Linked DNA regions of Schizosaccharomyces pombe. Each later gene encodes a partner of the first gene's protein in a complex. Each region holds a gene or a part of one and is shown in the gene's direction. Other genes may lie near its edges.

Region 1 (3,002 bases):
CTAGTAAAGAAACCTTTCTGAATGCTCCTATTATTAAAACGCTTTTAGGCTTGAGTGACATATTCATAGTGAAATTTACGCTCAAATATCTTCATTGAAAGTTTATTCTACTGAATATGCTTAAGTGTAAGTATTTGGTCCTTTAAATTGAAGATAATTATATATGAGCCACATAAATATTATTCTCATGTTAGAAAAAAAAATTCTTGCTTTATTTATTTGAGTATTTCCATATGCTAAAACACTCTGTATCATAAAGTCGTCTTCAGCATTCTCACTTCAAAAACTTGTATCCTTTTCAATACTCCATAATTAATAATAAAATAAAGGAACAAAATAACAATAAAATCGTTCATTATTCATTCTTTATCGCTTGAATTTCCTTCCCATGTAGGCTCCCCTTTTAACCTCTTTACACGTTTATTTTCGTACTCCTCGTTCTGTAGATTCAACTGATCTAATAAGATCCTCTATAACAGGTGGTTAATAAAAAAGGAACTGGTGAATGTAAATTCACGAAAAGCAAATGCACTTTGCAGCTGGTTGCCAAAACTTAAATATTGTAAAACAAGATCAGCACTTTACTTACATAATATTCTTCATTAACGTCGACCTTTCTTCTTCTTTTAATAATGTCTAACTCTGCATCCCGGGACAAGGATTTAACTTGTTCATCTCGTCTGTTAAATTTGACTTGGGAAATGGGGATCAAGCATGACCAGACTAATAATACTGAGCTCAAAAACGGCAATCCAACGTAAATAAACGGACTTTTCTTGGCTTGAAGCCTATACCAACTTTTAAATCGATAGAAAAGCATTTTAATTTATTAACATCCTTACATTCGCTGAAAACGATGGATTGTTAAGAATGTGTAGTAAATAGCAAGTTGGTTAAGATGATTATGGCAAACTTCACTCAGCATGTTAGGATGGAAATTAATAAGATAGTCGTTGGTTTGTAATAATTAATTTTAAGAGTAGAGTTTTAATAGAAATCTGCACTTTGAAATCTTTTTATTTCTACTAATTATTCAAGCTGCATCGCGTGACAGCATTCCTACATAGCCCAAGCACTTCAGGTGAAAACCCTTTATAGTTTTAATTACAATACACATTAGGAAAAAGAAACATATCGATGGCATGTGCTAGTGACAGACTGTGACTTCCAGTAAACATGTGTTTTACTTTGTTTACCATAAAATGGTATGTAAAATGTTTATTGAAAGTAATAAAATAGCTGAGAAAAGACCATTTAATTTCAGCTTGTGATTCAAATGAAATAATCATGCTTTTTAGTTAGGATATTTGCCAATCCCTAAAAACTTAATATATTAATTGATAGTAAGGAGTTAACTTTGAAAAGCTATGTAGCTAAATTTTGGTTTGCTTCTTTTAAACGGCTTCAATTCAGCGCTATTGTTGTTCAACAAATGAAAAATTTTGCGACATTTTAACTAATCCGTATTTGAGATTCAAAAATCAACTAAAATTTTTCAAAAAAATCCTAAAACGAACAACGTTTATGAAAACGTCTTTTCCATTTATCTGAGTTGCCTATTTAATGTCAATACTTTTACTTCTATTCAATCAAGCAGAAGAGAAGGACACATTTGGTCTATTCGGGAATTTTTCTGACTGCTATTAAAAGCTTTAATATTACAAATAAGTAAACACATTACAATTAATTCACCCAAATATTTCAAATTAGTTATTATTCTAATTACAATTATTTTTAAGGAAGAACATGTTACTTTATTGCATGAGAGACATACAACTTACAACTGTATTTTCTTCTTTAACCTTATGGCTTCTACTAGAACGACAATCATAAAATTAATTGTACCGGCAGGAAAAGCTACGCCTACGCCTCCAATTGGACCTGCCCTTGGTGCTCGCGGGTTGAAGAGCATAGACTTTTGTAAAGAATTTAATGCGCGGACGGCAGGTTGGATGCCAAATACCCCAGTGCCTTGTAAAATTACTGTCACACCTCAAAGAACATTTACTTTCACTATACATACTCCTCCAACCAGTTGGTTAATCTCTAAAACCCTCGACCTTGAAAAAGGTTCAAGTTCCCCATTACATGATATAAAGGGACAATTAAGCTTGAAGCATATATATGAAATTGCCAAATTGAAAAGTACTGATCCAAGCTTACAAGGAATAGAGCTTCTTTCTCTTTGTAAAAGTGTCATTGGAACAGCTAAAAGCATGGGCGTCAAAGTCGTACCTTAATCTTATGAGACGCCAGAGCATTTTGTAACTGGTCATACTTGAGGTTATTTTTTTTTCTATCTTGTTATAAACTATTCCCCTCTTTTTTCTTGAATAAAAGCAGTTAATGATATGACTTTTTACTATTACCGACTAAAACGTTGTCCCTGTTTTCTTATTTTCTCCTTTTCTTAGTTGTTTTATATTATTCCTTCGTTAAACAAGCAAAGTAAAAAAACACGTTTGCCATATAAAATTAAAGAATTGCATACCGTTAGTTTACAAACACATCTTAGACTAAATGATTACCTTTAGCATTAAACTATCAATATAGATAACGAAACAGATATGCTAAGCAGAAAAGAAAATGAAGATTTTCAAGTGTGAGTTTTATGTTTACTCTAAGTCACGCCTTATGAAATGCAGCTCAATAAAAGAGAGCCTCAAACTCTGTCTATCTATCAAAAAATAAGAAAAAAAAAACCAAGATTAGTACTGCAGAAACGCTCGAAAATAAAAGAAATGGCTTATGCTATAGGGAGGCATAATTGATGCTTGGCTTGAATAACAGCATCACGATCACCAGTATTTTTCATGATATCGTCACTAATCTTCACTGCTTTAGTTCCTTCAGCGGAAAAAAGCTTAATAACAATATTCATAGGTTTGCTCACTTCACTGGGATTGGAAACTTTTTGGAAGTCGCTGGTAAGATTTGTGCCGATGCCAAATGCAGACTTAATGCCACATTTCTCGCAGTATTTGTACAGTTCGATACATCTG
Region 2 (3,624 bases), on another chromosome or scaffold:
TCGTACACACCCTGACGCTTGTCCTTGGATTACGGGAATACTCAGCTCAAAAAATAACAAAATAATGCGACGGAAGGAGAGCACAGTGTGAGATCTGATAGCACAAACTGGTAAAAGTCGGTTTATCAATTTGACCTGTACTACCCATCGCATGATCTTAAATTACGCCTTTTCATGCACAAAAATGGAAAATCTTTCAAGAAAGGAAAATTTACTCTAACAGACGATATTGTCTCACTATCCCATGTTTGTATTATGTGCAGACTAATTAACTTAACGTTCTTTTTAAACTACGTTATACTTGCTTATAGGAGACAACGTGCTTAACTGAAATGTTAACAGTTGCATACTTAGACTTATCTTGGATAGTGAGTTTGGCCCCTTTACCCTATATGCCAAAAGATGACCCAGGGGGTTAATATTAAGGCCTAAAAGGTAGGAGGAAGCAAGAAATGGTAAAATGGCACGTGCCAAGCCAAACAAGAAGAGATGATAGACACGCAGCTAAAGAACATAGCAAGCTTAAAGAACAAATAACAAAGCATTTTGGTTGGGAAATTGATCAGTTGAAGAAAGTTATTAAAGTTAATGATTATTATAGATTTACTAGTAAATACATAAAAACCAAGGAAAAGATAAGAAAATAAAATAAAATATAAATAATAATTAACGATAATTATATGTATATATAAGAGGATAATAATTTTATATATACACAGCAAATCCATCCTATATTTAACATAGTATTCCTCTATTAAGTGCGAATATTCTTTTACTTAATTCAGCCTTTGCTTATTTAATGCGAGTTGTCTCAGCCCTTAGTACAATGTCAAATCCTCTTTAAAAGATAGTTATTAAACCTTTTGTTATTCTAATGACAACTGTAACATATCCTTGACTTGTTTACTATCCCTGCTGTAATTTCCAACTCAATTTTTATTCTACATATATAAAGCATCAGTTAAAGATATTTTCGTTGCTTCTCTCCATCATTTTCACAACCAGGAAAAATGTTTATTTTAAAATTTCCCATACTATTGACCATGTAGAACCGTAATAACAATCGTAAACATTGCACTTAATGAGCTTTAAATACTCTCTCAATTCTTTCATTCAGTCTCCATATCCGAGGGATGTAGCCTTCTCCAGTCTATTCTATATCCGTCTTTGGGTGCGGCTATACTTGCGTTGTATAGATTTTCTCCGTATGCATCGTGATATGTCTCAATTTCGCGGATGAGATACGGACTTGGGATTTCGGGCAGATCGTCATACAATGTCACTAGCTTCCGCAATTCATGCGATTTGTTCATTTGCATTCTTTATTTGGCTAACCCTTGTAAAATTGGGAAAACACATTTTATATTCTCTTTGGACCCATAAACACTTAAAGTGACTTGTAACTCATCCATCCTAGTCTTGGTACAGCAAATGAATTAGGTTTGCTTACAACTTGAGGATCGTCTTATACTTTCAGTATTGCCAATAATTTACAGTTACAATGATACTTAAAGCTTGCGTTTGTTTAGAGCCGAATATATATATATATATACACGAAAGGCTTTTTAGAACCACCTCGTCATAAATGTTTCTTTACTAGGCTCGCTAATTTCCATCTGTGTTTTTTTTTCACGCTAGCAAACTATGCTATTGCAATTAGTTCATTCTTAACGTCCTAATTCATCTAGTACATGTCATTTTAACTAAAAGAATTTTTCCTGAAAGAAAATTGGTTCTTTCATTTGAATATCATTCTTTCCAAAAAAAATGTAGAAATACAAATAAGATTATAAATTGGCAAAGACGCGATTGGACTTTAATTAAATACCCATCTACAGCCAATAATTAAAAAACAATAATAATTGTAATAAAAAAAAAGAATTTTTCAAGAGTTGTTCATCACTTCATATTTTTTCTTCGAATGTTAATAGAACAGCAACTTCTATTTATAAGATTACTTATAGTTTGTTAATTATTCCTCTCTGTTAAATTGGCAGACATCAGGAGAAGAGACGCAGCAGACTCAATTTGTTATACTTTCCTTATTAACATTTTTTTATTTTTTATTTTATTTTATTTTTATTCAAAAATTCTTTCTAATTTTTTTATTCTTACTGTTCGTCTTTCGTTCTTAAGTGCCGTCATGCATGTTTCTCAATTAGAATTTCAAATCTAAATGCTTTTTTTCAAAACAAGTAATTCATTGATGAGCCTTTTATCTTTACTAATAGTTCTATAGTCTACCTAAAACAAAAAAATAACCTATTGAAAAGCCTCGATTGTACACAACCAAATTTAATAAAAATTGGATTGCAAAAAGGCTTTCTCATTACTCAAAACAATATCTTTGAATTGCAAACTTTCAATTTTACATTTCTGACTGCAAGTTATCCATCAAGTTAAAAGAGCTCGCCCACAAACCCTGGTGTAACTACAAAACCTTTAACTTACCGCTTGCACTGTACGTATATCCAGAATGGCTAAAAAGAATAAAGCTCGGTAAGACATACATGCTTAATTTAATGCGCATTTTTAACATTTATTTTTCAGTTTGCTTGTAAAATTATTGTCCACCGCTGGCACTGGATTTTTCTACGTTCGTTCACGTCCAAAAGCTGCTCCTAAGCTTGCTTTTATAAAATATGATCCCAAGTAAGTTATTATGGATTTTCTAAAGCCTCATTTAAGAAGCTAATGAATGAACCCATAGAATTCACAAAAGAGTACTTTTCGAAGAATCCAAAATGAAATAAAAACTTCTTCCATTTCAATGATAGTCTGAAAATGAAATGCTAAATTATGACCGATCAATCTACCTTTTTTCTTCAAAAACTTTATGGATGTGCATTAATTATGTATTAGCTTCCCAACCTACATCTTATACGACATAATTCTAAACAGCTGCGTGAACATAAAGACCCTTATATTATTCTGTCATATCTATAATTCCTATTTTTATTATTATTATTTAAGAGAAGGACTGAGATGTCAAATTTTCAAAGTAATAAGAATGTTCCTTTCACCTGTACCAATTGCTAGCCGAATTAGAACTATAGTAGTAACATCGTTTGTGTTTACTACTCTTGTAAGCACTGTAGCTCAGATCATTCGATTCTAAAATTCTCAAGCAATATTTTTAATACAAAATGGTTGTACTATTTAGAAATTATGCAAAACATGGCAAAGCATTGAATTGCTAAAACCAATCGTCGTTTAATGTCTTCGTAACATTTAATTATTTGTTTTCTATTAGCTTATACGATGCAATTATTTTTATTCCCTCGTTCCAATTCTTAGTGTAAATTTTTGTCTACCTACATTTTCTATGTGGAGCAAACTACTACACTTTTCAACGCTTTGATCACGATGCCAAAGAAAGCTGCATTGGACGAGCTTAAATGGAAGGAAGTCAAGCTTCCTGACCACCTAGACGACTTCGATGGGTTTATGGGCTTGGAAGAGATTGAAGGTGTGGATATCAAATATCAGCCAAAAGGTGCTATGAAAGAAGTAATTTATGAGGTATAATTGTTTATTATCTAATTTATTAACAAACAGTTACCAGAAGTTCATGAAAAAAAAGATAAAAAGCCGGAAAAGCGAAAAAAAGATCAAAAAGAAGCT
Region 3 (3,761 bases), on another chromosome or scaffold:
TTACGATATTTTTGTTAAGTTGTAAAAGAATTGGATAGTATATGTAGGTGCATCCCAATAACTCCAAAATTTCCCGGGTGCACGATCTATTTCGTGAGCATCTGCGCAACAAAGTTAATATAAATAAAAAATCAGTAAAACCAACATACCAATTTTAAAGGCTATTGATTCGTATGGTTCAGCAGCCACTACCAGATACTGAAACTTTCGGTCAGGAGCTTCAACACGCTGTTCATAAGCACTCATAATTCTGTATCTTGGCTTAGCGTTCACTTCAATATCTGGATACTTTATTTGGAAACGTAGGCCAAATTTTCCGCTTTCGGCTTCTCTTATTTTGGACACTTTATAACCGGGTCGACCAATTTTTACGACACTTTTTTTAACCTGGACATGGGATTGAGAAATGCCCAACAACACTTGTGGTGCATTCTCTTGAGACTTTTTATTTTCGAGAGCCTGTCTCCTGGCTAAATTTGTCTGGTGTTTTTTACCTTGTGTATGGGTAAGGTAAGAGTTTTCATTCGCATGTGTAGTGAGGCAAAGACGACATTCAAAAGTGCCTAAATGATTTTTCATCAAATATGGATCCTATAAGAGATTAGCAATAGAAATATCATCGCAAAGAGTTTGAGGAGGAAGCTTCAAGGTGATTGACAGGGTAAAAAAAAGATGTCCAATTAGTGTAACATGCAAAACAGCAAACAAGGAAGTAGAAAGCAAATCCTTTTCATTTATTATTGTTGTTATTTTAGTTGTTATAGTTAGCGAATTTAACAGCAACTACTAATAAACTTCAATAATATGTAACATACGTACATGTCTTACTTTACACGATTAATTCATCGGTAATTATAATTGACATTCAGCACTCAAATTTTCAGAATTCAGTGGTTTTTAAACATACCTTTGATAAATCAATGGTTTCTAGCGCCAATTTACGAAGACGCTCTCTACGTGCAGCATTTGTTTCTTGATAGCCAGCAACGCCTCCTCCTCCAAAACGAACACCTGCGCGGTTTTGATAATCCATTTTTTAGTTCCTAGAAAATCCAACACTTATTTTTCTGTACTTTCACAATGACAATAAAGTCCCCTAAAAGACGGTGGCAGAGGCTGTACTTTCGTGAACCCCTATGTTTAAAGAAATATCGCAATGCAGAACAATACGCTAAATTCTCATCGTCGATGCCTTTTTTTTAACAAATATTTTAAATAGCAGATTAGAGCTCCTTTTCTCCATTTTATTATGTCACGTAAAAACAAAAAAAAATAATAACTTTTGATAAATTTAATGTATTGATGCTCCCATATATGAGTATATTTAATATGCTTTCAATATTTAAAAAGCCGGGACTGCAGCAATTTGCTTCCAATTTAAAATACTGGGTATTATTAATAAAATAAAATAGATAAAAGAAAGTATAAGATGTCATTTAACTGCTAAAACCTTTTTTGTACTATAAATTATCACTTTTAGCCCATGAATCGAATTCATTAAACTGATGGATTTTACTATTTGGTAATCTCATGCCAATTATTTGTTGGGAAAAAGCAAAAGCGATATCAAATTTTAGGGGTTCAGGTTGCTTTCTTTAAGGGCGTATAAAGAATGGTTAATGAACTATTTATTAATAATAATAGTATTATTATTATATTACCGACATTCCAGTGAATTGAATGAAACTATTAAAACGTAGTTATTGGATTTTAGCAAAGATTTTAATTTATTGTAACACAAATATTTGAAATTTAACACTTCGAATGTCAAACGGTGCTACACTGATTCACTTCAACCTTTCTAATAACCAGCTACTCCATCACATCTCAAATCTCTTCATTTTGCACATTTACGTTCATATATAATTTTTATATTATTTTTTGAAATTTTTTCTCTTGAAATCCAGTCACCTGCTTTCATTCCTATTGCTTTATGATGTTTATGCAACAATTTCGAAATTTGTTGCATCCTGCCATGAAGGGAGCCAGGAATATTTCAATATTAGCTGGAGGAGGAACTATGAGAGGGTTTCCGACAAGAAACCCTTTTAATACCGCTACTTTATACAGTTCTTTACCGACTATGAACATCTTCGGTCAAATGCAGCAAGTGCGTTGGAAAACGTATGGAAACGAGTATCAACCCTCAAATAGAAAGCGTAAAAGAAAACACGGATTTTTATCTCGAATTCGTTCTGTTAACGGTCGTCGTGTTTTACGAGATCGAAGACAAAAAGGGAGGATGTATCTGAGCCATTGAGTACATATTATCTTTTAATGGGCTCTAATTTGCATTAGTAACCTCTATCAATTCTTCATTTAAGTAATGCTTTCTAGTTTGTGATACATTTTCTTTCCATTGGTTCTTTGTTTAATTTTACTTGTTGAACTTTGAACTTTAATAACTTCTTTAAAACACGAGTTTATAAAATTTATTTTCCATGTCTGCGACTATATTTTTCATGAACAATTTTCCATCATTTATAAAATAAACCGTAATTTTTTTATATATTGGGTGCGATCATATCGGACTTAACCCACTTTTCTACCGTTTCTTTAGAGGTGCTTAAAAGCAAAAATTGTCTAGCTTCTAAAGCTATCCATAATTGAACCATTGGGTTTGTGAGTGAGACATTGGATTTCGATGAAGCAGAACGAAGATATGGTGTAGCATTACTTAATAGATCCATTTCTGGATATAGTTGGCGTCCAGCGCCTTCAACTAAAAGGATAGATAGCACAGTATTTGCGAAATTTGCTTCAATTCGAACATGATGCTCTCTCGCCATAGTCATTACTTCTTGTAATATAGTTCCTATTTGAAGTGATTTCAGTGAAAGCGTGCTCTTTTGAATTTCATTCAACAAATGTTCCATTTTAAGAGCAAATATGTCTTTGTTTATAACGCGTTCTGTCTGCCTGCTCCTTTCAACCATCAACAGTCCAGCCTCATAGCCATGGAAAGTAAGTACGGCTTGAAACAGATCCAAAAAATTTTTCTGATCCTGCGTACTAAGTTTCGTTACTAATCCAGCATCCAAAAATACTAAAGTCGGTCGATAGCCCAAGATGTTTAATTCTTCCATAGCAGAATCCCATTCCTCCGTCGAACATGTACTTAGAATTTTATAAATTGAGTCATTAATCTCATTATCTTGATTAAAGATTGTTTTAGGGATTCCTTTGTAAAATTTAACAAGGACATTACCCGGATGAAGATCAGCATGTGTAAAGTTGTCAACAATAAGCATTTGAAATAATGCATTATTTCCTGTGTTAGCTAACAACTTGTTAAATGGTCCTGACTTATGTTTGAGGAACGCGCTTAATGGGATACCCGGCATATAGTCTTCTAGTAGGATTTGATTAGTCGTGTAATCATCATAGGGAGCTGGAAATTCAACATATCTATTTCCTCTAAAGTTAAGACGGAACTGGTTGAGATGAAGCGCCTCATAATGTAAATTCAATTGCTGGTTTAACATTGCCCCAAATACCTTAACTTCGTCGGGCAGAGAAAGCCACTTCATTGAAGGTACCAAATTAATTAATTTTGCGAAGAAACCTAAGATTTGTAAGTCTAAAGAAATGTATTTTTCAACATTCGGGTGCAAAACTTTAATGGCTACATCTTGAGTCACTGGCGCATCAGAGATATTTTTCTGTCGAAACCCTATAGATTGTAGCATACTTGTAAAGTAGGAATTATCTTGCTGCGTAGCTGCTTTCTTGATGGTAGCCGTATAGACTTGAGCAATTGC

Evidence for each region.
Region 2: mrpl19 (region 1) and mrpl39 share a complex: the UniProt entries of both Schizosaccharomyces pombe proteins name them as parts of the mitochondrial large ribosomal subunit.
Region 3: mrpl19 (region 1) and mrx14 share a complex: the UniProt entries of both Schizosaccharomyces pombe proteins name them as parts of the mitochondrial large ribosomal subunit.

Annotation. Positions count from the first base shown.
Region 1 is NC_003424.3:3,205,338-3,208,339, reverse strand, and holds mrpl19 (mitochondrial 54S ribosomal protein uL11m), read left to right. Parts: upstream 1-1,799; 5' UTR 1,800-1,805; coding exon 1,806-2,240; 3' UTR 2,241-2,378; downstream 2,379-3,002. Other genes in the region: cytochrome c oxidase assembly protein Cox16, read right to left, coding at 360-470, 590-820; npt1 (nicotinate phosphoribosyltransferase), read right to left, coding at 2,747-3,002. UniProt on the Schizosaccharomyces pombe protein: Component of the mitochondrial ribosome (mitoribosome), a dedicated translation machinery responsible for the synthesis of mitochondrial genome-encoded proteins, including at least some of the essential transmembrane subunits of the mitochondrial respiratory chain.
Region 2 is NC_003423.3:2,700,102-2,703,725, reverse strand, and holds mrpl39 (mitochondrial ribosomal protein subunit bL33m), read left to right. Parts: upstream 1-1,974; 5' UTR 1,975-2,476; coding exon 2,477-2,499; exon of another isoform or gene 2,500-2,550; coding exon 2,551-2,652; exon of another isoform or gene 2,653-2,683; intron 2,684-2,710; coding exon 2,711-2,753; 3' UTR 2,754-2,991; downstream 2,992-3,624. Other genes in the region: ATP-dependent RNA helicase Mak5, read left to right, coding at 3,367-3,522, 3,559-3,624. UniProt on the Schizosaccharomyces pombe protein: Component of the mitochondrial ribosome (mitoribosome), a dedicated translation machinery responsible for the synthesis of mitochondrial genome-encoded proteins, including at least some of the essential transmembrane subunits of the mitochondrial respiratory chain.
Region 3 is NC_003423.3:3,803,074-3,806,834, reverse strand, and holds mrx14 (mitochondrial 54S ribosomal protein bL34m), read left to right. Parts: upstream 1-1,806; 5' UTR 1,807-1,933; coding exon 1,934-2,260; 3' UTR 2,261-2,504; downstream 2,505-3,761. Other genes in the region: U2 snRNP-associated protein Sap62, read right to left, coding at 1-86, 150-591, 908-1,033; cqd1 (ABC1 kinase family protein ), read right to left, coding at 2,505-3,761. UniProt on the Schizosaccharomyces pombe protein: Component of the mitochondrial ribosome (mitoribosome), a dedicated translation machinery responsible for the synthesis of mitochondrial genome-encoded proteins, including at least some of the essential transmembrane subunits of the mitochondrial respiratory chain.